Linked DNA regions of Cricetulus griseus. The protein of the gene in region 1 purifies or fractionates together with the protein of each later gene. This does not show direct contact. Links are inferred from orthologs where the notes say so. Each region holds a gene or a part of one and is shown on either strand. Other genes may lie near its edges. The genes, in order: Smad3, Lemd3, Rnf111, Runx3, Smurf1, Hif1a and Skil.

Evidence for each region.
Region 2: the proteins of Smad3 (region 1) and Lemd3 purify together in Homo sapiens (affinity purification with mass spectrometry; 3 studies listed by BioGRID and IntAct, counting the BioPlex papers as one, with this or other methods). This does not show direct contact. The link is inferred for Cricetulus griseus from reciprocal best matches to the Homo sapiens genes SMAD3 and LEMD3.
Region 3: the proteins of Smad3 (region 1) and Rnf111 purify together in Homo sapiens (affinity purification with western blotting; 5 studies listed by BioGRID). This does not show direct contact. The link is inferred for Cricetulus griseus from reciprocal best matches to the Homo sapiens genes SMAD3 and RNF111.
Region 4: the proteins of Smad3 (region 1) and Runx3 purify together in Homo sapiens (affinity purification with western blotting; 3 studies listed by BioGRID). This does not show direct contact. The link is inferred for Cricetulus griseus from reciprocal best matches to the Homo sapiens genes SMAD3 and RUNX3.
Region 5: the proteins of Smad3 (region 1) and Smurf1 purify together in Homo sapiens (affinity purification with western blotting; 3 studies listed by BioGRID). This does not show direct contact. The link is inferred for Cricetulus griseus from reciprocal best matches to the Homo sapiens genes SMAD3 and SMURF1.
Region 6: the proteins of Smad3 (region 1) and Hif1a purify together in Homo sapiens (affinity purification with western blotting; 4 studies listed by BioGRID and IntAct, with this or other methods). This does not show direct contact. The link is inferred for Cricetulus griseus from reciprocal best matches to the Homo sapiens genes SMAD3 and HIF1A.
Region 7: the proteins of Smad3 (region 1) and Skil purify together in Homo sapiens (affinity purification with western blotting; 6 studies listed by BioGRID). This does not show direct contact. The link is inferred for Cricetulus griseus from reciprocal best matches to the Homo sapiens genes SMAD3 and SKIL.

The regions. Positions count from the first base shown.
Region 1 is NC_048597.1:175,281,546-175,285,690, reverse strand, and holds the start of Smad3 (mothers against decapentaplegic homolog 3), read left to right. Parts: upstream 1-1,345; 5' UTR 1,346-1,845; coding exon 1,846-2,051; intron 2,052-4,145. UniProt on the Homo sapiens protein: Receptor-regulated SMAD (R-SMAD) that is an intracellular signal transducer and transcriptional modulator activated by TGF-beta (transforming growth factor) and activin type 1 receptor kinases.
Region 2 is NW_023276806.1:135,866,578-135,870,077, forward strand, and holds part of Lemd3 (inner nuclear membrane protein Man1), read left to right. Parts: intron 1-819; coding exon 820-886; intron 887-2,848; coding exon 2,849-2,916; intron 2,917-3,500.
Region 3 is NC_048597.1:182,047,543-182,051,770, reverse strand, and holds the start of Rnf111 (E3 ubiquitin-protein ligase Arkadia), read left to right. Parts: upstream 1-1,428; 5' UTR 1,429-1,639; intron 1,640-1,796; exon of another isoform or gene 1,797-2,052; intron 2,053-4,228. UniProt on the Homo sapiens protein: E3 ubiquitin-protein ligase. Required for mesoderm patterning during embryonic development. Acts as an enhancer of the transcriptional responses of the SMAD2/SMAD3 effectors, which are activated downstream of BMP.
Region 4 is NC_048595.1:18,148,416-18,152,667, reverse strand, and holds the start of Runx3 (runt-related transcription factor 3), read left to right. Parts: upstream 1-1,452; coding exon 1,453-1,510; intron 1,511-4,252. UniProt on the Homo sapiens protein: Forms the heterodimeric complex core-binding factor (CBF) with CBFB.
Region 5 is NC_048597.1:81,373,325-81,377,485, reverse strand, and holds the start of Smurf1 (E3 ubiquitin-protein ligase SMURF1), read left to right. Parts: upstream 1-1,361; 5' UTR 1,362-1,625; coding exon 1,626-1,680; intron 1,681-4,161. UniProt on the Homo sapiens protein: E3 ubiquitin-protein ligase that acts as a negative regulator of BMP signaling pathway. Mediates ubiquitination and degradation of SMAD1 and SMAD5, 2 receptor-regulated SMADs specific for the BMP pathway.
Region 6 is NC_048598.1:129,496,291-129,500,460, reverse strand, and holds the start of Hif1a (hypoxia-inducible factor 1-alpha), read left to right. Parts: upstream 1-1,370; 5' UTR 1,371-1,699; coding exon 1,700-1,734; intron 1,735-4,170.
Region 7 is NW_023276806.1:119,762,675-119,766,174, forward strand, and holds part of Skil (ski-like protein), read left to right. Parts: intron 1-389; coding exon 390-548; 3' UTR 549-3,500. UniProt on the Homo sapiens protein: May have regulatory role in cell division or differentiation in response to extracellular signals.

The DNA.
Region 1 (4,145 bases):
TAGGTTGAAGACAGCAGTTAAGACCGCCTCCATTTCAGTCTCTTGGTAAGGGCTGGGAAGCCGAGTGGAAGGGGAGGCTACAGCCACACTCCAACAGGAGTGCAGGACCTAGCTTGTTAGGGTCCACTGGGCCTCAAGAATCAATCCTCCTCCTTTCAGGACTTGGCTTCAGGGAGGTGGAAGGAGACACCTAGGAAACCACAGCCTCTTGACAAGCTGTGGCTGGCGATGGGGCACCCTCGGTGACAGAGCTGGGGGCCCCTGAAGCTTCTGGGCTGACTTTGTGGGACTGGCCACACTTCATAGGTCTTTGTAACTCCCACCGGCTCTTGGTTTGCAAATAACTTCTTTCTCACCACCGTCGGTGGTGGTGGGGTTTCCCACTGTTTAAAACAAGCATAGTCCTATACCTACTGAGTTAACCCGATGGGATTGCAGCCGCAGGGTAAAGGAGCTGAGAGCCTGCTGTAACGCCTCCAAGCCCGTGAAAGGACCATGGGCAGCCAGCCCCGAATTCCGATAGTTGGGCCCCAGGGCTACCCAAAGTCAGGTTCTCTTGGTGTCCTACCTAGGCTAACTTTGAGTAAACTTCGTTCCACTTTGTATGTGCGAGTTCACTGCTTTGTAAACAAAGCTCTCTTGCTTGTTTGGCGTCGAATTTCAGTAACACCCAGCAATGTTAATTCTTCCCCTCCCCCAAAGATAAATCCTAAAGCGCTCCCATTCATTCCTTAAGGAATGCAACAGATGTCTTTGAGGCCCGTTTTCTGCAAAGAGCTTGGTTCACTAGGCCCAAGGGACCCCAGGCTCCAGCTATTGTTCAAGTTGTCACTGAGGTCTCTAACTCCACTTTTAAGTCTCCCTCTCCCCCTTCCCAACTCCCTCCTCCGCAGTCTCCGGGCAGTCAGTCGGTCTGATCTCACCCAGCGGGAAAACAAAAACAAAACAAAACAAAAAACACCAAACCAAAGGAAAACAGCCGGGGCCAGTGAGCGAGATCAGTGCTCCCCGGCTTCCTGGGCTTGGAACTGAACCCCTCTTCTTGTCCCAGTACTCTCCAGGGAGCAGCGAACCCTAGGGGTCCCGCGCCTGTTCCGGCGAGTCTAACACTCTCTAGTCCCTGCAACTGCATCTGAGCGTCTTGAGGGCGGCGAGTCCCCAAGAGTCTGGTCCCGCGGCCGCCGTGCCCGGTGGCCCACGTGGGCGCGCTTGGCGGCGCTGGGCGGGGAAGGCCGCGGGTCCTCCCCGGAGCTGAGCGCGGGGGAGGAGCGGGGAGCCCGAGCGGCGAGGGGGCGGCGACAGCGCTGGGAAGAAGCCTGCACGCGGAGCTGCGTGAAACGTAGACTTGGGAGCGGGCGGGAGAGGAGCGGGGAGCGCCGCTGCACGGCCCTGGCCGGCCCTGCGAGGCGGCGATCAGCGGGGAGGAGGAGGAACAGGAGGAGGAGGACTGCAGAGGCGGAGGGATCTGCTCACCAGAGTCATCCAGGCCAGCAAAGTTTGGCTGGGGGTTGGACTTTCCTTCCCGGAGGCGGCACCCAAACAGCTACCCCGTGCGGAAACCCAAACTTTCTACTGCCACTCGGAGTCTCAGCGGCCACCGCCTCCGCCCCGCGCGCCCGGGGCCTGCCCGTCAGTCCGTCGGTCCTCGTGGAGCTACTCAGGCGCCACCGTGCTCCCGATCCCCGCAGCTGGAGTGCCGCGGCCCCGGCCCGGACGCCGGGGCAAGTTCTCCAGAGTTAGACGCGAAGTTCGGGCGCGGCGCAGGCCGAGCTGCCCCTGTGCGCCCCCGGCGTCCCCAGTGCGCCCAGTCCCGCCGGGGGCGCCGGTGACCCTCCCGTGCCAGCCATGTCGTCCATCCTGCCCTTCACCCCTCCGATCGTGAAGCGCCTGCTGGGCTGGAAGAAGGGCGAGCAGAATGGGCAGGAGGAGAAATGGTGCGAGAAGGCGGTCAAGAGCTTGGTGAAGAAGCTCAAGAAGACGGGGCAGCTGGACGAGCTGGAGAAGGCCATCACCACACAGAACGTGAACACCAAGTGCATTACCATCCCCAGGTGGGGGCCGGGAGCGACGGGGGGCGCGCCGGCCCAGCCCTCTAGGGCGGCCAGGGTGGAGAGGGGAGGGCGTGTGCGTGTGTGTGCGCTCTAGTGTTGGGGACAGGCAGTGGGTGGAGGGACCCCAAACAAAACCTTCTTCGGATTTGTCCAGGCTCAGAGCCCAGGCTTCCATGCGGCACTCTGGCTTCCAGACCTCAAGGATCCCTAGCCGCCTGTGGGCAGCAGGGGTGCTGCTGAGCTTGGCCCCCCACTCTCTGGGCTTTGGGCTCCAAGTAGAGGCCCCGCTTTGTTCGGCTCTGCCGGCCGAGCCCCTCCTCCGCCGCCGCCTCCCGCCCCGCGCTCGTGGAGGTGGTGGCGTGTGTCCCTTTCTTTTCTTCAGCTCTGTTCCCCCACTTCTTTTCCTCGTCTACAGGAATGCAGTCGGTACAGCTGTGGGTGAGGAGCGGGAGCCCGTTGATTGACAGATTCCTTCTTCGCTCTTTCTTTGCCTTGGGATTAGCATTTTTATCGAGTATTTTTAGATTTGGTTGTGCCAGCCTCCCGCCCCCTGTGCACGCATGCACGCACGCACTTAGTTGCAGAGCAAAGCACCGACTTTGAAGCGGGAGAAACAAGTGGCAGAAAGTACGGTCATTCCCTCTTCCCACCCCACGCCTGCCTGGTATGCCTTCATTTTAATTGAGAGTTTGCGGGTGCCTAGAACCGAGCAGGCAGCTCCAGACAGATAACAAAACATCCCAGAGCTGGCCTCCCTCTGTCCCTGCATTCCTGTAGAGACCTCTTTTCCCAAAACGCTTTGCCATCTGTCCTGACCTCCTTTATCCTTCCCATCGGGCTAGAGGAGTCCGGCGGGAGCTCACAGATGGCTGATGGAAGGGGTCAGTGACTTCACTCCCAGGGCCTCCCAGAGCATAACTGCGCCTGGGATGAGGGCACTTTAGCCTTCTGTCTCCACTTCTCAAGACATCTTTAAAGATTGATTCCAGAGGAGGGCAGGTGCGGATGTTGCGGGGTGGGGGTGGTGGTGGGAGGTGGTGGTGTCCCAAGCTGCAGAGGAATGGAGAGAGAGCTCCCAGGGCCTAAGATAGAGAGGTCATCATTCTTCCGGGCCAGGGTGGCCTCCATCCTTGGCCACCTGCTCAAGGCAGCTGTGTGTATGCTGCCAGCCCTAACAGTAAGGCGCAAAGCAGCATCTGTCCACAGGAGCCCAGGGTCGGCCTTCCCTGGAAATAAACACCACAGACGGTAGGGATGCCTGCTTAAAAAAAATAGCCAAAAAACAAAACCAAAAACAACCAACCCCCAAACCTGGTTGGGATCAATAAAGGGGGAGGCGAAGGCAGTTGTCTGGGAAGAATGCTTGGCCTGTGAGCCTCTGCCAACTGGCTTTAGGGGGGTGCTGTGACGTGATGGTCACAGGCACCTGGGTTTTAGCTCCTGCTCTGGCTCCTCATTCTTCTTTATCCTTTTGACGAAGTGGAGTGGCTGAGTCTCAGGTCTCTGTCAGATCCGGAGAAATAGCCTTTTCCTAATACGCCTGGGTGCAGCCACACTGAATACTTTATGTTTTGAACCCCCTCAAGTGATATCAATTATGAAGCAGCTGGGCAGAGTGTTTCACAATTTACAAGGCACTGTCATAGGCCTGATGAAGGCCTGGAAAACAGAACAGGCAGCGAGGTCTAAAATGATCTTGCCTTTCAACCAGACAGACCTTCACAGGAGATAGGGAAAAACCTAAGACTGGGGCTAGCATACCCTTTCTCCCAGACTGTTGTGGACTCTGAGAGCCCAAAGCATCCTTATCCAGGGAGGGTGGTGGATCTCTGCCTGGAAGGTTCTTGGTTCATCTTTGGGCTGGGGTCAGCTTAGAGGAGAGACTGTGCCTTCCTTGGCCTACATTTGCCTTCTGATCTTGCTTTCACTTGCAGCCCTTCCCAGTCCCAGGCAGGTGAAGGTTTGTGTGCTTCTGAGAGTTCAGGCTAACCACCTCCACTTCACCCAGGTCTTCCAGGACTAGGCATCTTCAGACTGCACAAAGAAGGTGGTGGGTGGGAGCAGGGTTTTTGTTGGTTGGTTCTTTGGTTGTAC
Region 2 (3,500 bases), on another chromosome or scaffold:
TTTAGTTTTATGTGATTGAATCAGATTAAAACAAACTATGGAGAATGGCTCAGCAGCTAACAGTGCTTGCCAGCAAGCATGACAACCTGAGTTTGAACATTCATGGTGGAAGGAGAGAAACAATTCCTAATATTGTTCTCTGATATACATGGCTTATGCCCCTGTATGTGCAACCCACATATGTGTACACAAATTAAATCAATCACTCAAACACATAATGTAACCTGGATGGAAGAAAAGACAAGAACATACATATATATATATATATATATTATATATATATATATATATATTATATATATATATGCATGTGGAATTGGAAGGGTTGCTTTGATGACTTGGGGGTTATTGTGTGTAAGATCCTTTTCTGTAATTTCTTTTTCCTAAGATGGGGTGTGTGTGTGTGTGTGTGTGTGTGTGTGTGTGTGTGTGTGTGTGTGTGTGTGTGTGTCTGTATTGGGTATGTGCACATACGTGCTGGAACCTGCTGGGGTCAGAGGTGTCAGTTCCTGGGGAGCTGGATTTGCAAAAGCTTATAAGCTACCTGATGTGGAATTGACCTCTGTCCCTCTGGAAGAGAAACTTAATCACTGAGCCATCACTCCAGCCCTCTGTGCCAACTTAATAGTCCTCAAGAAAGTAAAATACTTAGCAGTGATCATTTATGCTGAGGTTCCTTAAAATACAGTAGCTATTGTTTCCATATGGATTTGTTTTTCAGATGCATAGCTTTAACCATTTAGCTTGATTTCCTCTTTTAAATAATTATAGACATTTTTCTTACAATTGGTATTTCATAATAACTGTTTTTAATTTTAGGAAAGTGAAAGAAATCTTGTGATGAGCACATTATACAAACTTCATGATCGGTTGGCCCAGCTTGCAGGTATTATTTTACCTTTCATTGTCTCCCAAACCATGTCTAAGGTTACCTGGTGTGTGTGCTTGTTGTGTCAGTAGAAGTAGTCTTGCCTAACCATAGACTTACATTTATTCAATAGTTTTCTTTAGAGATTTTTAAAAGAAATTTATAAAGATGTAGGGCTATTTATTTTCTGCTTGCCATGTGTTAGATATAGTTTATGTATGTTGTGTAAATAGTAAATTCTGAAGGCTTAAATAGCAATTGAATTGGATAAGCAGTGATTAATTAAAATCTTGGATTAGATACAGAGGTATAGATTTTCTTTTGGTGATTTTGCATGTTACTCCTGTAGTTAAAGTAAATATAGTATTCTATTTTTAGTTGAATTCTTCTCATATTCTACTCTTACTGGTCTATCAGAGTGCTCAGGTATCAACATATCTGCAGCCTGAATTTAATGAAATTATATTTTAAATGCATCCTTACTAAGTTTGATATTTGCAAGCAGTATCGGCAAAACTACTGTAGCATATTTGTTTATCCAATTCAGTATATAAATTTATTAATATTTGTGTATAATCTGAAAGATGTGGCTTTGGGAGCCTTCTACACTGTGCAGGAGCAGACTACCATGTGCAAGTGAAGTCTTTGGCAGAAGTCTAGGGGGCAGATGTGGTGACTCCTCTGGTTAGATGGAAGTACTTAGGGTCCTGACACTTGTTTCCCATGCCTTATCCATCTTGCTCTTTGATCCATAGTTTTCCTCAGTTTTTTAGGTTTATAATTGTGTACATTATTAAATGCTTTCTCTATACTGATTGATTTGCTCTGTTCATATATCACAGCTAGTGACATTCATGTGGTATGTTTAGCACCTGGGTGTGGGTTGAATGTATTCCATAGCTAAGAAATCCTAATGTTGCTACCTTAAGCCTGTGTGACTCTCAATACCTACGTTATGAAGTGACGCCTGTGGTTTCCTAGATCAGTACACACGGTTGCTCTTAAAAGATGGAGCTTTCCTCCCCAGATTGGACGTTGGCAAGTTTTTCCTATAAAGTGCCCATAGTAAATACTTGAGGCTTTGTGGACTAGACTGCCTCTCTCACTACTATTTTATTTTGCTATTATAACATGCACGTAACCATAAATAGTACATTAATCAATTAGCTTGACCCTACTCCAGTGAAACTTCATTTATAAATAGCAGCAGACTGCATTTGGCCTCAGGTGTATTTGCTGACTTCTGGGTCTGTGGAATCAGTCTCTCTCTGAGGAAGCATTATAAAGCTTGAAGACCTGTTTATCCCTGATCTAACTGCCACCATCACAACCTGTTCCTTGAGAAAACTGAGAAGTAAGAACGTACTTTCAGGGTAGAAAGGTGTGCAGGATTTCACTTTTGTTATTAAAGTTTTGTGTTGGGTGTCTTGCCACCCCCACCCCCGCCCCGCCTTCTCTCAGTAGACCAGGCTGGCCTTGAACTCAACAGAAATCCGCCTACTGCTGCCTCCTGAGTGCTGGGATTAAAGGTGGGTGCCTTATATTTTTAGGTTGAAGAAGATATTTTTAAACTACTTGAAAATAATAGGACAGCAAAAACTTAGCACTGAATTTTAGTATGAAGAAAAAATATCTCTAATAGACACATGTAGTCTGGAAAAAAAGCTTTGAATTTTCTTCAGTTATATGAAAGAAGGAAGTAATTTTCTCTAACTTTTATAGCATACCCCTTTATAAAAACTAAGTCATAAGTTCATAGATAGAAATCTTACCCTCATTTCACTGTTGATCTGTGTTCAAACAATTTTTAGGGTTTGCATTAGTTATCAGAACTGTTTGTAGAAAACGTATGTAACATTCATCAATATTTACTGATTATTACTATATATATAATTGTGTCATTTGTAAAACATTTTCAATTCTATTTATTTTTCTGTTTAATATTGTACTTATTCCAAATTAGTATGGTAATCTTTTCAGGAGATCATGAGTGTGGCAGTTCTAGTCAAAGGATGCTCTCTGTTCAAGAAGCAGCTTCGTACTTAAAGGTAAGCAGTGGCGTCAGAATTTTAGCCCTAGTCTTAAAGCTTATATACATCCATACCACTGTTAAAAGTAGGAAGCATTTGACTACTTTAATTGTACTGCTTAAGGCAGTTTTTACATCTTCTTTTACAACTCTTTTCCATACCTGCATCAGTCCTTCCTCATCCCTAAGCTTATCCTCTGTCTCTTTTCTTCTTGTTACTCTGTCTGAGTGGTTTTCAGTCTTCCCAACTCTGTGACCCTTTAATACATGTTGTGGGGACCCCAGCTATAAAATTATTTTCATTGCTACTTCATAACTGTAATTTTGATAATATTATGAACGTAAACATCTGTTTTCTGATGGTCTTTGGGGGTCATGACCCACAGATTGAGAAGCACTCACTTGTGCATTTGTTTACATATATAAGTGTATTGTTGGCTAGGTTCCTGGTAAGAGAGAACATGTTTTTTTTTATTATTATTATTTCTGAGATTGTAGATATAAAGCTGATTGGAGTGTATTTATATCTAAGGATATGAAGCTAATTGATTTTCTAGTTCTACTTGTAGTTCATTGAGTTGAATAGGCCATGTGTGGTTAATT
Region 3 (4,228 bases), about 6.8 Mb from region 1:
TATTTCAGTGATGAATGGCCAGAACTCTCTCTGGCTATTTAATAGAATGTTGGACTTGATTTCAGAATCAATTCAGCTGAATATGGACAGTTCTGATTTTTACTCAGTATCATGTATGATTTGGGAATCATTTGTTGTGAAAAACACCACAGACCATCTTTGTATCCATGAACTTAGCCAAGCGAAGTAAAAATATACTTTAACATGCAATCCATAGTAAAAAGTATTGGACTTTTCACAGTTTTGAAATGTAGTTCTTAAAATTGATGTAGCCAATACAAAGTCAATAGCGCTTTATTTCAAGTGTTCAAGAGTCGTATGTGGCAAGTGTGTCTACCTTAATTAAGGAATACAAGTCAAATCTTTAAAGAGGAAAAAAAGGAGAGAGATGAAAACAGAGGTTTGAGACATCATGAGTCAACGGCCTCAATAGTCCAGGTGGCATCCTACTTTTAGAGAGAAGCCATTGGGGGACTGAGGAAATCCAGGTCCAATGCTCTTTCATTATTCCTCGCTTATAATTTAAAAACACCTTCTTCACTCAATATGGAGAACATGAGTGAATAAAATTATTGAAGAGCCTGTGTCTAAGGAGGGAATTAATGCCTACTGAACACTTAATTGGTAATATATGGAGGTTTATATAAATCGCCAAATTTGACCTTAAAGATGGTTTTAAAGCATATAAAGTTATCCTGGTTAATAAAGGAGGAAACTGAGATTTATAAAGGTGTTAATATATCAGCTTTCTGGCCAGAAGTCTGCCTGATTGACCGCAGAGGCCACGCTCTGTCCTTATGTGTTGCCTCCTAGGGCACGCAATGAAACATTGCAATCATCTTGTTTTGTGAGGTAATTAAGAAGTGTTCTCAGATTGTATAGCCAGAGCTTCCAGGCTATCTAATACCACCCTTGAACTGATTTTGGAAACAATTCACTTGAACAGCGAGATGTGATCTCTAGTTTGGGTGTCATTTGCTGGGAAAGACACCACGTTTTTGCTTTAAGAGCGCTGCAAGTGCAGCCGGTAAGATTTAGAAGAGAAAAAGTAACCAGGATGTAGGCAGAATCATGTTGAAGTATTGTTGACCCCGAAATCACCGAAGAAAATGAACCCTACGAGCTTCTTCTTAACGTAGCTCAACAGGGCCAACAAACAGTAAGAGAAAGCCAGTGCAAAAGGGGAAAGGCTAGGACGCAGGGGGGCGGGCCCGGGGGCCGAAGGGGGGCGAGCCCGGCAGGCGAAGGTCCGCGCACGCGCAGACATACGGACGTGAGAGGGCGTGAGTCCGGCGCGCTTGCTTTCCGAACTGTCGTAAAAGGGCCCCGGTGTCGCGCTCGCGCAGTCGGGGAGGGCCGAGCCAGGCTGCGGCGGCGGCGATGGTGGCGGGGCGCCGGGACTGCGCGGCGTAGAAACGCCGGCCGTTCAGGGTCGCGAGCGCGCGTGGGCCACGATCGGGCGTTCCGAGCCGGGTCGGGCCGAGCCGGGCTCAGCCGCACGCTTGGCCGCGGCGTTGACAGACGCCCTCCCGAGGAGAGCCACCCGGGCCGCCTCAGCCTCGCCTCGCCTGGCCGAGCGCTGTTTGCCGGCCCGCGCCAGCGAGCCCCGGACCTGGCCGCACGGGGGCTGCGGACTCGGGTGAGGACGCCGGAGGAAAGGGGGGTGCGGGGGAGGGGAGCGGCGCCGCGGCGCTTGCGCGCTGCGGGGGAGGGGCCGAGCTGTGGGGAGAAAGAGGAAGGGCCGCGGCTGGCGGCCGGGGTCAGCGGCAGGGGGATGTCCGCGGGTCCCGGGCGGCGCGGAGCGGCTCATTGTGTCCGGGCGAGAGTCCGCCCGCGGACACACCCACAGCCTCCTAAGCGGGAGGGGGTGAGGGGATCGCACCCTGTCGCCGCTGCCCGCCGGCAGGACGGGGGCTGAAGGCCCAGGCGTGGGGGTGACAATGGAGTAAAGAAGGTAACCCGGGCCGAAGCCGGGAGCCGCCCGGTGCGGGCGAGCACGCGCAGTCCGTGGAGCAGAAGACAGACGCGTCTGATATTGTGTGGAGCTGGCTGGTTAGTCATTAAAAAAAGATGTTTTCTTTATCCTGCCTAGATAATTGATCGGAGTCAGCAGCGGTGCGGTGAAAGCATCGGGTTTTGTACTGAGAACTAGAGGTTTGTCACCACATCTCCTAGATTATAGGGCTTTATAGATAATGTCTTAAAGCAAGAGTGACTTTTTAGCGTCTAAAAAAAAACAAAACCAACCAGGAAGTTATAGCGCCTTCTTTTAATTTGCTCATGTCTGTAGTGTGGGGTGACTCCATTGTGTTGTTGAGAGCTTTCCTATTCCTTGATTTATGTACAGAGTGAGTTTAGAACTCCTGAGTAGCGGCGAGCCAGCTGACAGACTTCATTGTAAAAGTTCTGATAGCTCTTGAACCAAACTTTGTTCCATTTGGCATTTTATCTTTAATTTTCTTCTTTTTGGTACCTCTTTAACCGAAAGGAACAGACTGGGAAAAAGATGAGCTGAGGTTCCACCTCCTTGCCCGTTTGTGTTTATCACGTGAGTTTTGAGTTTACGTAGACATTCTTTCCATAGTTCTGATTTTACTTAGCTTCATTAGGATAGGGGTCTACATTTAAAAAATCCTTCATATGGGTGTATGTCAGTGTGTGGGTCTGCATGTGAGTGCAGGTGCCCGTGGAGACCAGAAGAGGATCTAATGTTCTAGAGCTGGAGTTTTAAGGGAGGCTTTGCACTGCCCTGTGTAGGCGCTGGGACCCCCAAGTTGGGGTCTTCTGCAAGAATAAACACTCTTGACTCCAAACGGTTTCTCCAGCTCCGGAACCATATTTTGATAGTTTGTTACTATGTGATCTTTGTTTTTGCTTTTTCTTTCAGTTAAAAACATTTATGTAGAAACTGGTAACTATGGTATTTTGTTACATTGTGACACAGGTTGAGGAAGCTTCTACTCTGAAGAGAAACAAATTATTTAGCTTTAACTACTACTTTTGTAGCGGGAGTGCTGGGCGTGATGGCTCAAACTTTTAATCCCAGCTCATGAGAGTCAGGGGCCGGGGGATCTTTGTGAGTTCAAGTCTAGCCTGGTCTACATAGTGAGTTCTAGGATAGCCCTAACTATGTAGAGAGACCCTGTCTTGAACACCTACCCCGAATGTATGTATAACTCTTTTGCTACTCTCTTAGGGTTTAACCATGAACAAAATATTTTGTTGTATTCCGCTGGCATGTCACCTAAGATTCTCTGTAGTATTTGAAAAAATTAGTGAGGATATTTGTGAACTGGCCCTAATGACATTGAAGAATATTAGTAAGAATAGTCTTTTCTTGCTAGTCAGGGCTGTGTCATATGTGTGTGGTTTCTTTTGTCATCTTTTCCCATTGGTCTCTGTCTGTTGGTCACTAGAACTGGTTGGCCTTCAGCTCCTAGACTCAGGGATCTTCCTGCTTCAGCCTCCTAGGGAGCTGGGGCTGCAGGTTTTTACCATTGTACTTGGGTCTAGAGTTTGTGTTTCATGAATGCTATAATAAGAATACTTTCTTTTAATGAAGAATGTATGTTAGCTGAGGTTACGTTCAGCAAGTTTCACTTTGGTGCTCCGTGTTTGTGAGAAATTGAGAAATGCTTCTATGCTTCTACTGATGTCCCAAGAGGACGGCAGTTTACTTGCATGAAGCAAAGGAACAGTAAGTTATTCAGCAGGCACATCTGTGTATTTTTTTGAAAATATGGACTAGAAAGCTCATTGCATCAAAATGTTTAGAGCTTTAAGTGTTTATTTTATATATGTCATGTTAAGGAAGGCCTTTGGTATCATGCTTTAGTTATGGCTTATTTGTATGCCCCCCTGCTTTGACCCTAACCTGGTGGGCTGGGACTTTAATATGACTGACAGAACAAAAAAATAGTAATTAAGGCTGGGTGGTGGTGGCTCACGCCTTTAATCCCAGCACTGGGGAGGCAGAGGCAGGCTGATCTCTGTGAGTTCGAGACCAACCTGGTCTACAAGAGCTAGTTCCAGAACAACCTCCAAAGCCACAGGGTTTCTTTTGTCATCTTTTAAAAACCAAAAACCATCTTTTGTCTTAAAAAACCAAAAAAAAAAAAAAAATGTATTGTTAACCTTTCCTGGCCTATATCCTTCCCAATTAGTAAAATTAGTGTAAGATTGATATATGTTGTTTATTTCTGGCCTCTGTTTTTGGGTGTATGTGTGT
Region 4 (4,252 bases), on another chromosome or scaffold:
CCTATGAATTGTGACAGAAGAGCTCTTGAGGCAAATAAGAAAAGCCATGCTCTCCCATGCCTCACATCTGACAGGTTTCTTAGAAGATGAGCACAGAGTGGGGCATTGCCCATGTCTTTTGAGCCTTTCTGAGTCTTGGCACAGGAAAGGCCTATCAGAGGCAAAAGCCCTGAGGCAGGGAGCTCAGAGTCTCTCTGGCTGTAACACCCCAAGGGCATGGCAAAGGCCCCAGACCAGTGAGCTTAGGCTGCAGGCTCCAGCCGAGAGCAGGGCCGTCCCAGCACAGCCATGCCCCCAGCTTTCCCAAGCAAGGCCTTTCTTGGTGGGCAGGCCGCAGCCGCCGCCTCATGTGTTTCCCATTTGTACATAAACCCCAGCTCCCATAAAACCCCTGAAGTGCCACCCAGCCACATATGTGGACGCCTCTGCCTGGCAGTGTGGTGACGGACATGGCAGGGTGTCAGCCACAGCCTAGGGCAGTGACAGCAATAGTGAGGGGTCCTCCACCCTCTGATGGAACCAAGCTTTGGCTCCTGGGGAAGAGCAGCCAGGCCACCACTGCCCTTCATTATGAAAGGGTCTCCTAGGCCACTGCAAACCACAGCCTGCTGCCCACTCAGTGGCTCCTAGCTCTGTCTCCTGGATTGTATGATGAAGCCAGACTCACAAACAGAAACCCTACCTTTTCTCTCTTTTTATTCTTTTCCTTCCAGCCTCCAAAGAAGGGGGTTGGGGAGTAGCCACAAGATCTTCTAAGGGGACTGTGACATCATGGCCCAGGTGACAGTGGCCTAGCCAATGGGCCCCAGCCGCGAGCTGGCTTCTTATATCCTGTGATGTGAGCTTGGGTTGACACTGGGAAGGCCTGGTCCCTCAACCACAGAACCACAAGGCCAGGCCCTCACTGCCTCCAGGGCCCTGCGAGGAGCTGGTTGGCTCCTGGCGTCCCCACCCCCTGGCCGTCCTGGCCCCCACCACAGCCTGGGCTCCGTGGAGGGTGAGCCTCATTCATTCATTCATTCATTCCCGCTGCTGAGTCTTGCCTCACTGCTGCAGCCCCAGGCTCCTCCGCCCTGGCTGTCCGGAGCCCCTTCCCACCATTTAATGATACTCTGCACATAGTGCTGTTGAAAATTTGTGGCTAGACATTCCTGTGGGACCGGGAAGCCAAATTCTTGGGTACAAACCGAAACTTTCTTTCCTTGGAGATTTTCTTCTCTCTCGCCCACAGATACTCTCGCGTTCTTTCCTTTTTTTCCTTTTTTTTTTTCTTTTTCGTAGCAGCAGGGGGAGAAAAAAGAAACCAAACCAAAAAACAAACGAAAAGCAACACCTCCCCCCTTTTATTTTCAAAAGCAGCTTGAAAAAAAAAATATAACAAAACAGCAGCCAACCAAGTGGGTCCGAACCCAACCCCCTGAGGCCGAGTCCTTGCCTCTGTCAGCTTGGGGTATGGCCTCCAACAGCATCTTCGACTCCTTCCCCAACTACACACCGACCTTCATCCGAGGTGAGTAGCAATGGTGGGGCTCTGCTTGGCTCTCCCGGCTGGGGAGTTGTAACGGCCTCAGACCATGACCCTCCAACCCACTGCTCTAGCCACCTCAATGGCTAGCCTCTGAGGAGCTAAGTGGGGAGAGGGATTGGTGGCCTCTGTGGTCTCCTGACACGAGCATCACTATAGGACTTTGATTCTCTGCTGGCGGAGTGTGTGGCAGGGGCAATGGCTCCCTATAGACCTCAAAAGCTAAACCTCAGAGGGTCCTGGAAAGAACAAGGCACCGGGGCCTGTTTGCCTAGACAAGGGCTCAGACGGACCGAGGTCAGATGCGTCTGGGAGGACCATGAGAGGCAAGCAGGGCCAGGGCTGTGCCTGGACCCACAGATCTTAAGGACTGTCCTCCGAATTCTCTGTGTGCCCAGAACAGTGGGGACAGAGGGAGGGAAAGAAGCGGCAGGCCTCTGTGAAAATCTGGCAGATACGCTGTCCCTGGAAGGTCTGAAGGTTTGTTCTCAGAAGGTGTTTTGGAGGTGGCTTCTGTCTCTATTCATGGCCCATCAGGACCAAGAGTTCTGGGGTGTGCCCCTCAGCAAGGATAGGAACCAGGATATCTGATGTGGAGCCTCTGACTTAGGCTAAACTCCAAGAAGACATGCCCTGCCTCTGGCCATTGAGGTACCCTGACTTTATATACCTCGGCCACTTTCCTGACCCTTTGCAGGAGCTCATCGGGCTGTGGCACCGGAGATCAGGAGATTGTGGTCCCCAAACTTCAGCCCCAAGCTGTGCCAACCTCGATGAGTGACCCGATATGGGTCACTTAACCTTTTTGCTCCCGATGGCGTCCCCTCTAGCTGTGGTGTTCTACTATCTGAGCTGTGCATGGGGCAATACTTCTGGGTTGCTCAGGGGAAATCTCTACAGAAGATGGGGCAGAATGTTCTAGAAGTCTAGGGTTGGGAGGCATTGCCTTTTTTGAGTGGAGGTGGCCGAATGAGAGAGACATAGAGGTCTGCCTGCCAGTGCTCAGCATTTGATTCTAGAGGACCTGGAGACCTGTGGGTCTGTGTGGTAAGAGCGAGGCATATCTCTTTCCTGGTGATCTGAGGAGCCTAAGGCAGGCTGTGTGCTCAGATGGTGATTGAGCCACGGAGAAGGGATGCTCACTCCCAACCTGGCTGTGGCTGATGATAAATAGTGGCCCTAGGTCCTGTCCCTTGCAGCCACCACTGTTGTTGTGCTCTGCACCCTTTGTAGTCTTTGGTGTTAATTAAAGGCAGTTACTGGGCAAGAAAATAAGAGTTTATAGGAACCAGTTGCTGGGTCTTTGTAATCTGTAGTTCTCCCTCCCTGAGCAAGATGGAGAAGTTGAGCTTAAAACAAAGAAACTTTAGAAGTCAGGGCTCGTGCCGGATGCCTTAGATGGACTCCTGACACAAAGCCCTAGATGTGGCAGCTGGAGATAGAAGGACGGAGAGGGGACCACAGCAGCTGTGGCCCAAAAGGAAAGAGGTCACTGAGCTGAATGGCTGGTCCCTGGTCAGCAGGGTGGAAGGTGTCAGAGTCACTGTCACCAGGCAGCCTGGAGACCCCAAGAAGAAATCCTGCCCTTGTCTCGTCTCTCTCCTTTAAACCTGTCCACTCGGGTTCAGATCCCTGATTCAGAGTGCTCATAGCTCCAGCCTCAGGGTCCCCTTGTATCCACACACCATCCTGGACCCTCAGGAAGCCTGTGGCTTCTCAAATCACACTATAAAGACATATAACAAAATCAAAAGGATTTAGGAGGTACCAGACCTGGGGAAACAGTTTCCAATCTATAAAGGCCCATTTGTGGACTGTGACCTTGGGCCTCTCTGGAGACACTTGAATGACAGAAGCCCTCCCTGTGGATCCAAAACCCAGTGTAGCTCGGGTTGACGAGTGCTGACGATAGATAGTGAAGGGTCATTTGCCACAACCTTCTTGAGATTGAAAACAATTGTGGTTTCTGTTGGTGACACCATCGTGGTGGAAAAAGATGCTAAATTTTGTTTCATAGTTGCTAACAGAAGGGAAAATTCATTATTTCCAGCCGGGTTCATGGACCCCTGGGATTTCTGCTAAGGTCAAGAATCTTAGCGCCGATGTGTTCTCTCACTCTGACTCTGGGATCCACCTGTTGGGGTTTCACAGAAGGGAGCCCCTGTCTCCGTTCTCCCACAGTGTCCACATACCCAGCTGTCCCCAAATGCCGGCCCTCCTCACTGCCTCAGCCACTCTCCTGGAGAACTGGAAAATGCCATGTTCCAGTTCCACAGTCTCAGACTGTGGAGTCAGTGTGTGTTGAGTCTGGGTCTGGAAATTCACACAATCTGACCTGGGCAGTGCTGGCAGAAGGCCCAGTCCTCTGCCTGCCTCTAATGTCCATGTGCTGTGTGACTTCAAGCCAGCCGCTTGACATCTCTGAGTGCTATTCTTTCATTGGTAAAGGGGACGTGTGATTAGAGTTGATGCTCCTCATGCTGCCGCCAACCCAGGGTGGGTCCTCTGAACTGTCACAAAGCTCTGCCGACTCGGAGTCCCCATAGACCAGAAGAGAACAGCTTCATCTATGTTTTCACTGGATTCTGTGTTTCCATGCCTTGCCTCCGGGCATCAGCACACAACAGACATCTGGGGCCTCTGGAAGCAACAGGGGACAGACAATTGGGCCTCCTACAGTCAGGGCTTAAGTAGAACCTTCCAGAAGCTGCCCAGCCTGCCCTTCGT
Region 5 (4,161 bases), about 94 Mb from region 1:
TTCAGTTCCCAGTACCCTCACATGGTAGTTCACAACCACTCGTTTCAGATCCAGCACCCTCTGATGTACATATAAACACACATGCAAAACACTCATATGTAGATTAAAAAATATCTAAAACCCCCACAAGACTCAGTTTTTCATGCTTGCACAACAAACACTTTATCAATGGAGCTATCATACCAACCCTCATCAAAGACTCTTAAATGGATTTATTCTGACCTAGGGTCTCAATCTCAATGACAGCTGCCTAGAAAATGAGACAGAGCTAGCGTCTGGATTAACTGTTGCTCATATACTGTTCCTTTTCTTAGACAATTCACTACAGCTATTTGAAACTCTGGGCTGCACAGGGTCATAGAAACAAAACAAACCACTAGGGTAAGGCCAGGTGGGTTGTGGTACAGGCTGGTAATCAGGAAGCTGAGGCAGGAGGATCACAAGTTCGAGGCCAGCTTGGTCTAAAAATGAGCCTCTGTCTCCAAAGAGGGTGGCTAAGTGCTGTGGGTAACAGGGCTAAGGAAGCCACATAAACTCTGTCTATGAAAAGAATTAGGTTCATATCAGATGTGAGTTAGGTAAACATACCCAGCCTTTTCAAGAACGTTTTATTTCCTCTCTAGAATGTGTTACCATAGAGATGGGTTTGCTTGCTGGGGAAAACACAGCTTTTACTTTTTTACCTGCCTGCCTCTCTAGGGGCGCACACGCGCGCGGGGTGTGTGTGTTTCACCCGAAGGCAGGGAATCGCAAATCCCACTGCTTACCTTCCTAGGTTAGTTTAATTGCATGCAGGTCCCTAACCACAAAACCACACACCTCTCCAGTTTACATCACTCATCTAGTTTAGCTGGTCCATATGCCTCACTTCCTGAGGGTCTAGCCACTTTGTCAATCGAATACACCAGTTGCACAGGGCACACCCGATCATTGTGGAAAGTCCTCTCTTGGAACTTGCAGGATCTAAACGTTATTTTCTCAAAAATGATATCGCGTGCCCGTGGGCGCACGCGCGCAAGGTGCTTGGGGTTTCACACAATCCTCTGGCTTCCATCAGGAAAAAGTCCGACTCTAGAAAAATAATTCGATTTCCCAAATCGTTGCACAAGCAAATCAGTTCGTTCCGAGATTGTGGCTAAGAAGTGCTCCGCGAGCGGGATGTCTGTTTCAAGAATCTCCACGGGCTGCAGAAACCTAGTAGCTCCCTGAACCTTCGCGTGCGCGCCCAGGACGAACGCTGTCGGCGTAGCGCCGTGCTCCTCGGGCGCGCGCACGCATGCACGCACGCAAGCGCGGGGCCGCGCAGGGCCGGGCCGGCACGGCGACGGGCGCGCGCAGCTCGGGAGGCGGCGGCGGAAGCAGCGAGGGCGGCGGGCGTCCGGCTGCGAGCGCGGCGGCTCCGGGCTGGCGGCCAGGGGCGGCTCCGGGCGGCGGCGCAGCCGAGCGCTCCGTCCTGCGGCTCCAGCCCGCGGCTCCCGTCCGACGCCTGCGCCGCTCACTCGGCGTCCCGGCTCGGACCCCGGCACCCCAGCCCGTGGCCGTAACCTTGAGGCGGCGGCGGGGCCGGGCCGGGCCGGCTGGGGGCGGCGGCGCTGGATCCAAGGCCGGCCGGCCGCTGGCGGGAGATGTCGAACCCCGGGACGCGTAGGAACGGCTCTAGCATCAAGATCCGTCTGACAGGTAGGCACTACAGGGCCGCGGCCCTCGCGCCCCCAGGCGGTCCCAGGGACCTCGAGGACTCCCACCCCGCCGCACCGGCCGTTGTCCCGGGACCGCCGCACCCCCCACGGCGTGCGCCCCTCGCTCCCTTTCCCGGCCCCGCCCCCCCGGCTGCTCTGCAGGCGCCGCCCCCGCCGCCCAGTACCCTCCCTCTGCATCAGGCCCCACCCCCGGCCATCAGGCCCCGCCCGCTGCGGCAGCCCCGCCCTCTTGCATCTAGCCCCGCCCCTATTGATCCGCAGATCCTCCCCCTTTCGTAACCAGGTTCAGCCCTCGACTGTTCTGCAGACTCCCGCCCCCTCCCCCCACAGGCTCCACCTCTTTACTTTGTAGCCTTGGTGCCCCGCCCTCTGGCTCCTCCCTCTGCATTATTCCCCGCCTGCTAATTTCTCTGCAGTTGGTTTTTTCTGCTTCAAGCCCTACTTGCTGTTCATCCTTCTGTCGGGCTCCACCCCCAACCCCCGCTGATCCTCGGTAGGTACTGCCTCCGGCTCCTCCCTCTTTATCAGGTCCTCCCCTCACCGTTCACACTCTGCCCACACCTACCGTCATTTGCATATGGGCCCCGCCCCCTAACTGCCTCCCTCTGCCCCTAACCTTACCCCTCTGCTTCAGGTCCCGCCCCCTAGCTCCCCTCTCCAGGACCATCCCCTAGCTCTCCTTTCTGCCCTACCCCTACCCTCAGCTGCATAGAGGTCCCGCCCCTCGGGGTCCCCCACCGGCTCTCTTGTGACCCTCTCTATATCCTGCCCCAGGCACCCTCTGTCCCACATCTGCCCCTCCCTGCTCTTCTCCAGGCCTTGTGCCTGGCTCCCTCAGCTCCACACCCACTTTCAACTTCATGTAGGTCCCGCCCCCTCGCTGCACCTTTTGCTCTTCCCACCCTCACCTCAGATTTTCATCATCCATTTCTTCACTCACCATCCTCCTACCTGCTATCCCTCTCTAGTCCCACACCTTACTACCCTCCCACCTGTCTGCTGTCTTTTTCCCTTGTAGCTTCTCATCTCTTCGCCTCCTTTCTTCCTTCACCACTGTGTTCTCTGACCTTCTCACTTCTCCCTCCTGGTATCCCGAGAATCGCCCCCCCCCCCCCCACTGGCCTGCTTTGATCCTCTCTTTGCTCTCCTACCTCCTCACTCCCTCCCCATCTCCATCTTTCTAGGGGCCTTCCCCCCTCTTGGCCCCGCCCCCTCCGCTGCCCAAGCCCCTCCCCTTGTTTCTGTCTGATCCCGCCCTCGATTATCTTTCAGTCCCGCCCCCTCGCTTCTGTCTTACAGCCTCCACCCTTGAGTCGCAAATTCCTCAAGCCTGTCTGGGACCAAACGTCTGTCTCCCAGACTTGTTCTCACTCCCCCCCACCTCTTCAATGGTCCAGACCTCTCCAGTCTAGTCCACTTCCGTTCTCCCTGAGGCCTGGCCACTTAGCACTGCAGAGTCCCGGTCTTCGGTTCCTACCTCCTCTGCAGTGCCTTCGCCAACATCCCCCTCAGTGCCACATGCTTGAGTCCCTGTTGTGGCGCGATCCCCCACTCCCACACAAGCTGAGCTGTGGCAGCTGCTCCAGCACAGGTTCCTTGTTCCACTCCGAGTCTTCAGAGGAATTTTCAGGTTTCCTAGGTGCTCTGTAGTGCCACCTTCAAGGGTGAGCGCAAAGCTTGCTCTGGGTCTGACAGCAACAGTATTGTTTGCATAGAGGGAGAGGCGAGCTCTCTGTCATAGCTGCCCCACTTCATGGGTCCAGAGTCTGGACCACTGCCCCTGGTTTCCTCTTCCTTTCTCCCTCTCCTTTTCCTGCAGAGACCTTACCAGTTTGAATCCATCTCTAAAGCTGCATGGCAGGGCTGGCATAGGGCCTGCTCTGGGGCTTTCTAGCTCAGAAAAGGAAATAAACACTAAGTCTAAGGCCTTTCAGGGATTTCCCTGGATTTTTCTGTTCTGAGGCAGTGTGGTCAGAACTAAGGCTCTCTGCTTGTCCTTTTGGACTGAGCCTTTGGGTAAGGGCTGTGATCATGGTGGTATCTTCCCTGCCACGGTGGAAATTCTTGGAAAGTTTGTAGCCGATGAGTGTTCTGTTTAAGAAAAGATTGACATTTTTTTCTCTGGTGATGTCAGGTCAGATAATGATTTTTGAACTAGAACCCAGACCCTGGTCTTGTTGGACATCTTTGCCCCTGGACAAACAGCAGGTGACTGGAGAGAACTCTCACTGGGTGAATGTAGTGTATGACACTGTGTTGGCTGTTACTTTAGAAAGTTAGATTCTTTGCCAGTCATCCTTGTGAAAGTTTGCTCACTGGCACTGGGCCCTGATTTTAGTGATAATCCACATTGGTTTCAGCCTTCCTGTTAAATTGATGGACTTGGGGAGTTTTAGTCGAAATGAGATCAGTGGCGTTTGTGTCAGCTGTCTATTAACAGATCCTAGAGAACCAGGAAAGG
Region 6 (4,170 bases), on another chromosome or scaffold:
TATTAATAAGGCAAAGATGGGATATTAAACAGTTTAGTGTCAGGAAGAGTCTCAAACAGAGGCTCCAGATAAGGCTCAGCTGTACCCCCAACGTGTGTGTGTGTATGTGTGTGTGTGTGTGTGTGTGTGTGTGTGTGCAGTGTATGTAGTGTTCCTTTGTTGGGCTCAGAATACATAAAACAACAAAAACCCATACTGACCGGCCTAGCATTTTTGCTTCCAAAGCCTGACCAAAACTGATGTTTCATTCCATAGTTCCCTGTAGAGCAGGTGAGCAGTCAGTCGGTCACCAGGATCTGCAGGTTAGGGGACGCATTATTCTTCCTTTAGTCTAATCAGTGAATCAAACTCAGCCTCAAAGGATTCTTGCGCCTTTTTGGGTCCATTTAAGATCATCTTTGTCTCTTTTAAAAGCAACATGGAAGCAAAATAAGTCTCTCAAAGCCTTTTCCCTTCTTCCACTCAAATTCAGGCTTATGCTTTCACTTACTAAAGCCCCGTTATTTGTTTGTAAATGCTTAAGATAGTTTGTTTTAAAATGGCCCTGCAAAATAAGTCTCTCAAAGCCTTTTTCCCTTCTTTCACTCAAATTCAGGCTTATGCTTTCACTTACTAAAGCTCTGCTATTTGTTTTTAAATGCTTAAGATAGTTTGTTTTAAAATGGCCCCGCAACTTCACTTCCTTTGAGAGGTTTTTGCAAGAAGGATTTGTTCTATGTTTTTATTTGCATTTGCTCAGTAATCAAACTTCGGCCCAGAAAAATCTTAACGACATGGAGACTTCCCTTGTTCTGTGGCAGAGCGCAGAGACTGAGCCGCCTCCGGGTCACCTGGGAAGGAAGGACCCCACTCGAACACCAGGGGGCTGGCTGCCACGACGCAAAGTCGGCTTTTTCTTTTTTTTTTTTTTTTTTTTTTTTTTTTCCAACTGGAAACTCAGAAGGGCTGGGCGGCAACCCAGCCTCGGATGACTCCAGATAGCAGGGCGGTGTGAGCCAGGCTCGGAGCTCGGCAGCCCACCATCTCCAGCAGCGCCTCCCAAAGCCAGACGCCGTAGAAAGCTCGGAGTCCCCAGGCCCGGGCTCAGCCGCACCCCTCGCCCCTTTCTCTTCCCTCCCCAGCTGCACACAGACAAGCACGTGAGCGGGGCAGCGCGTCCCAGCTGGGTCTCAGCTGACCGCCTCCTGATTGGCTGAGAGCAACGTGGGCTGGGGTGGGGCCTGGCCGCCTGCGTCGCTCGCCATTGGCTCTCGGGGAACCCGCCTCTGCTCAGGTGAGGCGGGTCCGCGGGCGCGCGCGTCGGGCTCGGCGGGCGCGCGCACCCCTCGGGTCCCCTCCCCTAGCCGCGCGCCCGAGCGCGCCTCCGCCCTTGCCCGCCCCCTGCCGCTGCCTCAGCGCCTCAGTGCACAGAACCTCCTCGTCTGAGGGGACGCGAGGACTGTCCTCGCTGCCGTCGTGGGCAGTGTCTGGCCAGGCCCTGACAAGCGAGCGGGAGGAGCGCCCACGAGCCCGAGCCGGAGCCCGGCGAGAGCAGCTGCAGCTCCCGCCTCGCCGTCTCGGGGAGGAGGGGGGGGCGTCTCGCCTCGCACCCCGCCTCTGGACTTGCCCCTTTCTCTGCGCGTGCGGACGGAGCTAGCGCTTAGGCCGGAGCGAGCCCGGGGGCCGCCGGCCGGGAAGGCACCGCGGGCACCGATTCGCCATGGAGGGCGCCGGCGGCGACAACGAGAAGAAAAAGTAAGCCGGGCCGCCGCGTTCCGGGGGCTGGCCTTTTTTGTCTCCGATCCCCTTCCGTCCCCCCCAGCCTCGCGCGCCGGGCTCCCCCGCGGTCCACGTCGCCATCTTGGCGCGGGGGGTGGGAGTCGCGGGCCCAGCGCTCGGCGGGGCTGGGTCTCCGCCCCGGACACCCGCCCCGCGCCGTCGCTGCCCAGCCTGCCCCGCGCGCCTATCCGGCCGAGCCGGCCGGGGCCGAGTACGCCCCTCGCTTCTGCGCCTTCCCGCCCCCTGTCCTCCGCGTTAGCCGCGAGAAGCCGGCCCCGGGCGGACCCTGCGCGCGCTGCCAGCTTCCTGGGGTCGAGGCCGATCCGGGGCTACCCCCACCCCCCCCCACCCCCGGGCCGTCTTGCTGAGCCGCGGCCGCCGCTGCCTTTGTACGTTAGGGAGTTGCTCCGGGGGCCCGAAGATGCTAACTTTCTAGTTTGCACGTGCAGGTTTCCGTTGTGATGAGGGGGGGGGAAAAAAAAACCTTGCCTCCTCCAGAGTAACGGGAATTTAGGGAAACGGCATCGTTTTAAACAACTTACAGTTTTTACAAACTTGTGCCTGCATCACCTGACTGACAGGAGAGCCCACACGTTATTACGCCTATGTATATGCCTCTTTTCACTCCTGAAAAGAGCTTTCCTGATAGTTTTGGTTAAACTTTGGCCGATGATTTAATGAGATGGGGGTTGGGGGAGACTATATAATGCGAGCAAATGAAACTCATCAGTTAAAATGTTGCAAGTTTGTTGAAACACCTGAAAGAATTGTATCGGGAAATACATCCCAAGTGAGAAATTGCCTCTGAAAACTTAATGTGAGTTTATGAAACGTCTTGTAGTTTTTTGAGTCTAAGGAACACCTTACAGAAGTGTGACTGCAGCTGCTAGTAGTAAGATCGACCCCTGCCGCCAGCACACAGTTTTGTCTGCTTCAATATTTTAACCTTGAGGAAATCAGTTTAAGGAGTTGAAGGTTTATAGAAAGAGCTGTGGTTAGAAGGCTGGCTTAATATTCTGCTGAGTCCTTCCAGTCTTCTGGAAGAGATTAAATCCATATCAGCAGAAGATAAACTTTCTTGTTTTCTTGCTGTTCTGTGGGTCCCTTGTCTTGGTCCTTACTCCATAGAAGGTTCAGGTCTCAGTTTGTGTGCACCAAAGGAAGCACTTCGGAAATGTTTTAAAAGTGCTTAAACAAGTCTAGACTTAACTCCACTAGTTACCAGAATTAGTTGCAATTAATTTTGCAGAAGTTACTACAATGCTTTTGATGAAATGATGGGGCTGCTATAATCTAAACATTAGGCAGATTGCAATTGGGTAGTGCCATTTACTGTCCTTACTAAATGCTGAATTAGATTTAATACAATACACCAGGTCATACACCAGTCATTGTTATATGCAATATTTTTTAATCAAAAGTAATTTTATAATGAATGAGTGAATTAGTTGTGCATTGGGCCAAGTTCTAAATGGTTTTTAGTTTTTCCTCAGACCCATCTGTTATTTAGTTTTTCTCACTTGAGATGTTAGCAGCTTTAGATCAGATGGGATTATATTTCTTAATATAGAGGTTCTTAATATCGCTAAAAGATAATGAACATGAGTGTTGGGTCACTCAACAACCTTTAGGTGCTGTTTGTTAAAGATGTACTTTTGAAATCATAATTTATTTGAAAGATTGAGGTAAAGATTTTCTGTCTGCAGTTTTTCCTTCTTAAATGAGCCTCCAAAGTGAGCATAGGGGAAATAAGTTTGCTTTTTTTTTAATAGAGGGCATAGAAAACCCAGACCTTGAAGATTTGGAAGAAAGCAGAACAGAAAATGCATAATAGATTTAACAGTGGGTACTGAGTGTTGGGGCTGCACTTGACTGACTTAACATGCATATGGACTCTTAGATTTCAAAAACGTGTCAAGCTCATGCTGTTTCTAGCTTCAATGGACCTCATTACAATTCAGCTTTCTCCCTGTTTGAAGAATCAGCATTCTAAAAGTTTAGAGGGTAGGGATGGGGAGGCAGAGAATTACCCACAAGTTGGAGTCCCAGGCCTTTCCACTTGTGATCATTAGCAAGTTAGTATTTCTGGATTATATGCCCCACTCCCAGATGATAATACTAGCCCTCTGAAGATGAGGTAATGCGTTTAAAGCACTTAGGCCAACATGGAATGGGAGTCTTTGTAACATTTCTTACACTTGAAAATATGTGTTAACTGTGAAAGTTATAGTTCAGACTTCCATAACCATTAAACTTTCCTGTCTATATCTAAATATATTTTAGTTCTTATGTGCCTTCATGTAATTTTTTCTCTATAGCCACCTAAATGAAGAGACTAGCATTGAATTCAAAGGTTGAAAAGGGGTTCTTCCCTGTTGAAGCAGTATCTAGCATCAGTTGTTTTACTGAGCA
Region 7 (3,500 bases), on another chromosome or scaffold:
ATAGGACCCTGGTTCAGTCTCTAGCACCATATAGTTTTTTTGTTATTTTGATATGATAAGGTGAGCTTTTGTTCCAAGTTATCAAACATGAGTAACTCTGTTACTATTACAAATATGGAGATGATGAGCACATTAACATAGCAGCTGTGGAGAGTCGGAGTGTTGCTATAAGCCTTTGTGACAGTATGCTACATCCTCATTCCTCTAATACTCCTATTCCTTCAATTCCCTAACATGTCAGATGTCAAAAGTAGGTGTTCTGAGATATGCATGAAAATAGTTCATTTTGTAAAAAGCAAATGGCAGTTTGTTTTATAACCATGGTAAGGTGATTAAATGGGAAAAAAAATCAAAGTGATGGAAAACTAATAGTCTTTTAAATTTTACAGTTGGCAGAACTGAGGCAAAGACTAGACCATGCTGAGGCGGACAGGCAAGAACTCCAAGATGAACTCAGACAGGAGCGGGAGGCAAGACAGAAGTTAGAGATGATGATAAAAGAGCTGAAGTTGCAGATTGTGAAATCATCAAAGACCACCAAGGAATAGGAGCCGAAGAAGAGATGGATCTGTATTTGGTCAACAGGGATTTGTGTTTGTCACTTACTTTGGAAATTGAATTCTGTTGTCTTGCCATATCTGCATGAAGATAGCTAGACATTCTATTCATTTATAGGGCAGCAAAATGAAGAGATTATATATTAGTACATAAATTTTTCCACTTTCCAAATGATAAGTGTATGCTTCTTTGAACTTTTTCCAGTCAGCTTGGTGATGATAACCCATGTAATTTCAACCTGTAGACATCTACCTGTATTTCTAAGGCAAGCCTAACAGTTACATATTTTTCAAAGCTGTGGTATGTGATGGGAAATATCTGTCAGTTTTATTATGCATATTTCAGGCTCGATTTTAGATACAGTGCTGATGTTTATGATGCAGAGTTCCTCAACCCTGTATCATCCTTCTCATTACAGAATATGTTACTACAGAATCTCCTTTTTCTTTTTTTTTTTTTTTTTTTTTTTTTTTTTTTTTTTGTTTGTTTTTTTGAGACAGGTTTTCTCTGTGTAACAGTCCTGGCTGTCCTGGAACTCACTCTGTAGATCTTGCTGGCCTCAAACTCAGATCCGTCTGCCTCTGCCTCCCAAGTGCTGGGATTAAAGGTGTGTACCACCAACGCCCGGCTGAATCTCCTTATATACCATGTCTGTTTTTAGTTTGTTCAGGTTGTGGAGTAAGGTTCCTCCTAAGAGCAGTTTTGCTGATGGAATGATAGTACCACCACCCCAACATGCAGTGGGGGGAGTGTGCATTGCTGTGCCCTGATGTTGCACACAAGAAGCGGCTGGAATTTGTCTTTCATTTAAGAGTGGCTATATCTAAATATGTGTGTGTGACTTCAGAAAATTAAAATGATTACTGAACTTTTGGTAATAGTGCTGTGAAAGTACTTCATGAGGAAAATGGACTCCACTGATGTACATTGGTTCCTATGTAATTCATAACCCTCTTGTACAGTTTTTGTATGTAGTCTTATAAAGGTCTCACTGAAATTTATATAATGGATTTTTTCTTTTAAATTATAAAATATAAATATCTTGAAGGTTATTTTGGACTTTTATATGTTTAAATGTTATCTTAAAACTTGCACGAATGGACCATTATGACTCTTTAATCTTAAAATCAGGAATTTACAGTCAGCTAATAATATCTGATAGGTTAATAATCCATAATTAAAGTATCTGCTGCTAGCAGGAATTTTAGATAATTTTTAGGTGACAAATGAATTCCGTGATTTGGGGAAGGGCAGCCTCTGCACTTTTGTTTTTATTTTTTTGCACATTAAAGTCTGACATTTTTACCAGAGAATTTTATCTTAGTTGATGTTTGGCTTGATATTTACTGGAGAAAATTCTCAGTGAGCATTGTATTTTTCTTTTTGTTTTGTTTACCCTCCAAATTGCAGGGTTCTTGTGGCCTCTGCCTCCCAAGTGTTGGGTTTATAGGTGTGGGCCCCATCACACCTGGCTCTGTGTGTGTGTGTGTGTGTGTGTGTGTGTGTGTGTGTGTGTGTGTGTGTGTGTGTTTAGGGAGATTTCCTGAAAGTGGCAGTAGCATCATCGCCATGTTTTATGTTTCCCAAGCTGTCTTATGTCACTACGTTAAGTGACTTGATAGCTATGCTTACGAATAACGTAGAGTTATGGCTGTCATTGCCCCAGTGGTATTATCACGTACCTGCTTATAGTCCTATTTTGTTTATGATTCATCTAAAAGCAACTTTTCTGCTTTCCAAAAGGGAGTTTGCTTTCTAAATATATTGTGACCTAAAAGAGGATTTACTATGCTTTATAATTTAATGTGTTGACTTTTGTAACCTCTTTGAGGAGAAACATGTTAAATTGCACAGGGACCATATATGCCATTTTATTTAGATTTGGAGAAAGAAAAACCACAGGCATTTGTAAAATAGCTTTAGCTTAGTTGTCAGTTATAGCACAGCTTGGCTATGTGGGAGGCAAACTTACACCATTTATTTTTCTGACTTCCTCAAAACTTGTACTTCCGTGCTACTATAGCAAATGTAATTTTTCTAGTCTTTCAATGAAACTTGCCTCATGACATAGTTTAGCATAGTCTACTTCCCAGAAGATGAAAGGATGTGCCATAGTTTTCTGTCTGAACTTCCCTTAAAATAATTTTTAATCAACTGTAAATATTATACCTATTGCTGTTGAGAGTAACTTTTAGTTACATTGCACCATGTAGCTTGAAAACAATTGAAATTCTGTAAAACTCCCAAAGTGACCTCTGCTTAAATTTTCATATGAAACTTACTTTATGCATGCTCTTTTTGTGTGCTGGTTGCTATCTTAAAGTTTATTTTGGTGTTAGGTCTTGTGGTAAGTTCACTAGGCAAGCAGATAGTTCCTCAAACTTCATATTATGTTTAGGGAAAAATGAGACCATTTACAATGAAAAGCTGTGTTTAGGAGTGGATTGTAGAGTTTGCAAATGGAGGAAAGATGGTGGTGTTAGCTTTTATAGTAAGTGATGCTTGCTCTGGTGGTGATAGTCTCTCTGTGGGCCAAGTCTGGGAGCTCCTGCCTCTGTCAAGGAGACTCTGAAACCACCTGCCAATCACAGCCAAGACTTTGAACACCAAAAGATTCGACCAACAACTTAGATTTGGCTTGAGCTTTAATATTTTTGGAATATATTCTTTCGCTTGAATTTCTTGTGTTTTTGAGGATAAGGATGTTTTATGCTTCTTGAGCTAATTTTATAACATTTAATATATAACCTGTTTATATGTAAAATCTTTTGTACAGGGGTGGGGTGGGAAGGAGAAATGAAAAAATTCATGTGTACATAGTGAATTATAAAGCAGACTGAAGTAGGTGAAACAGTGAGTACCACTTTGTTCGAAGGTTCCTGTAGCCTTTGAAAGTTACACCAGAACAACCAGTTTCTTTGTGTGTCTGTGGCTTGTTTGCA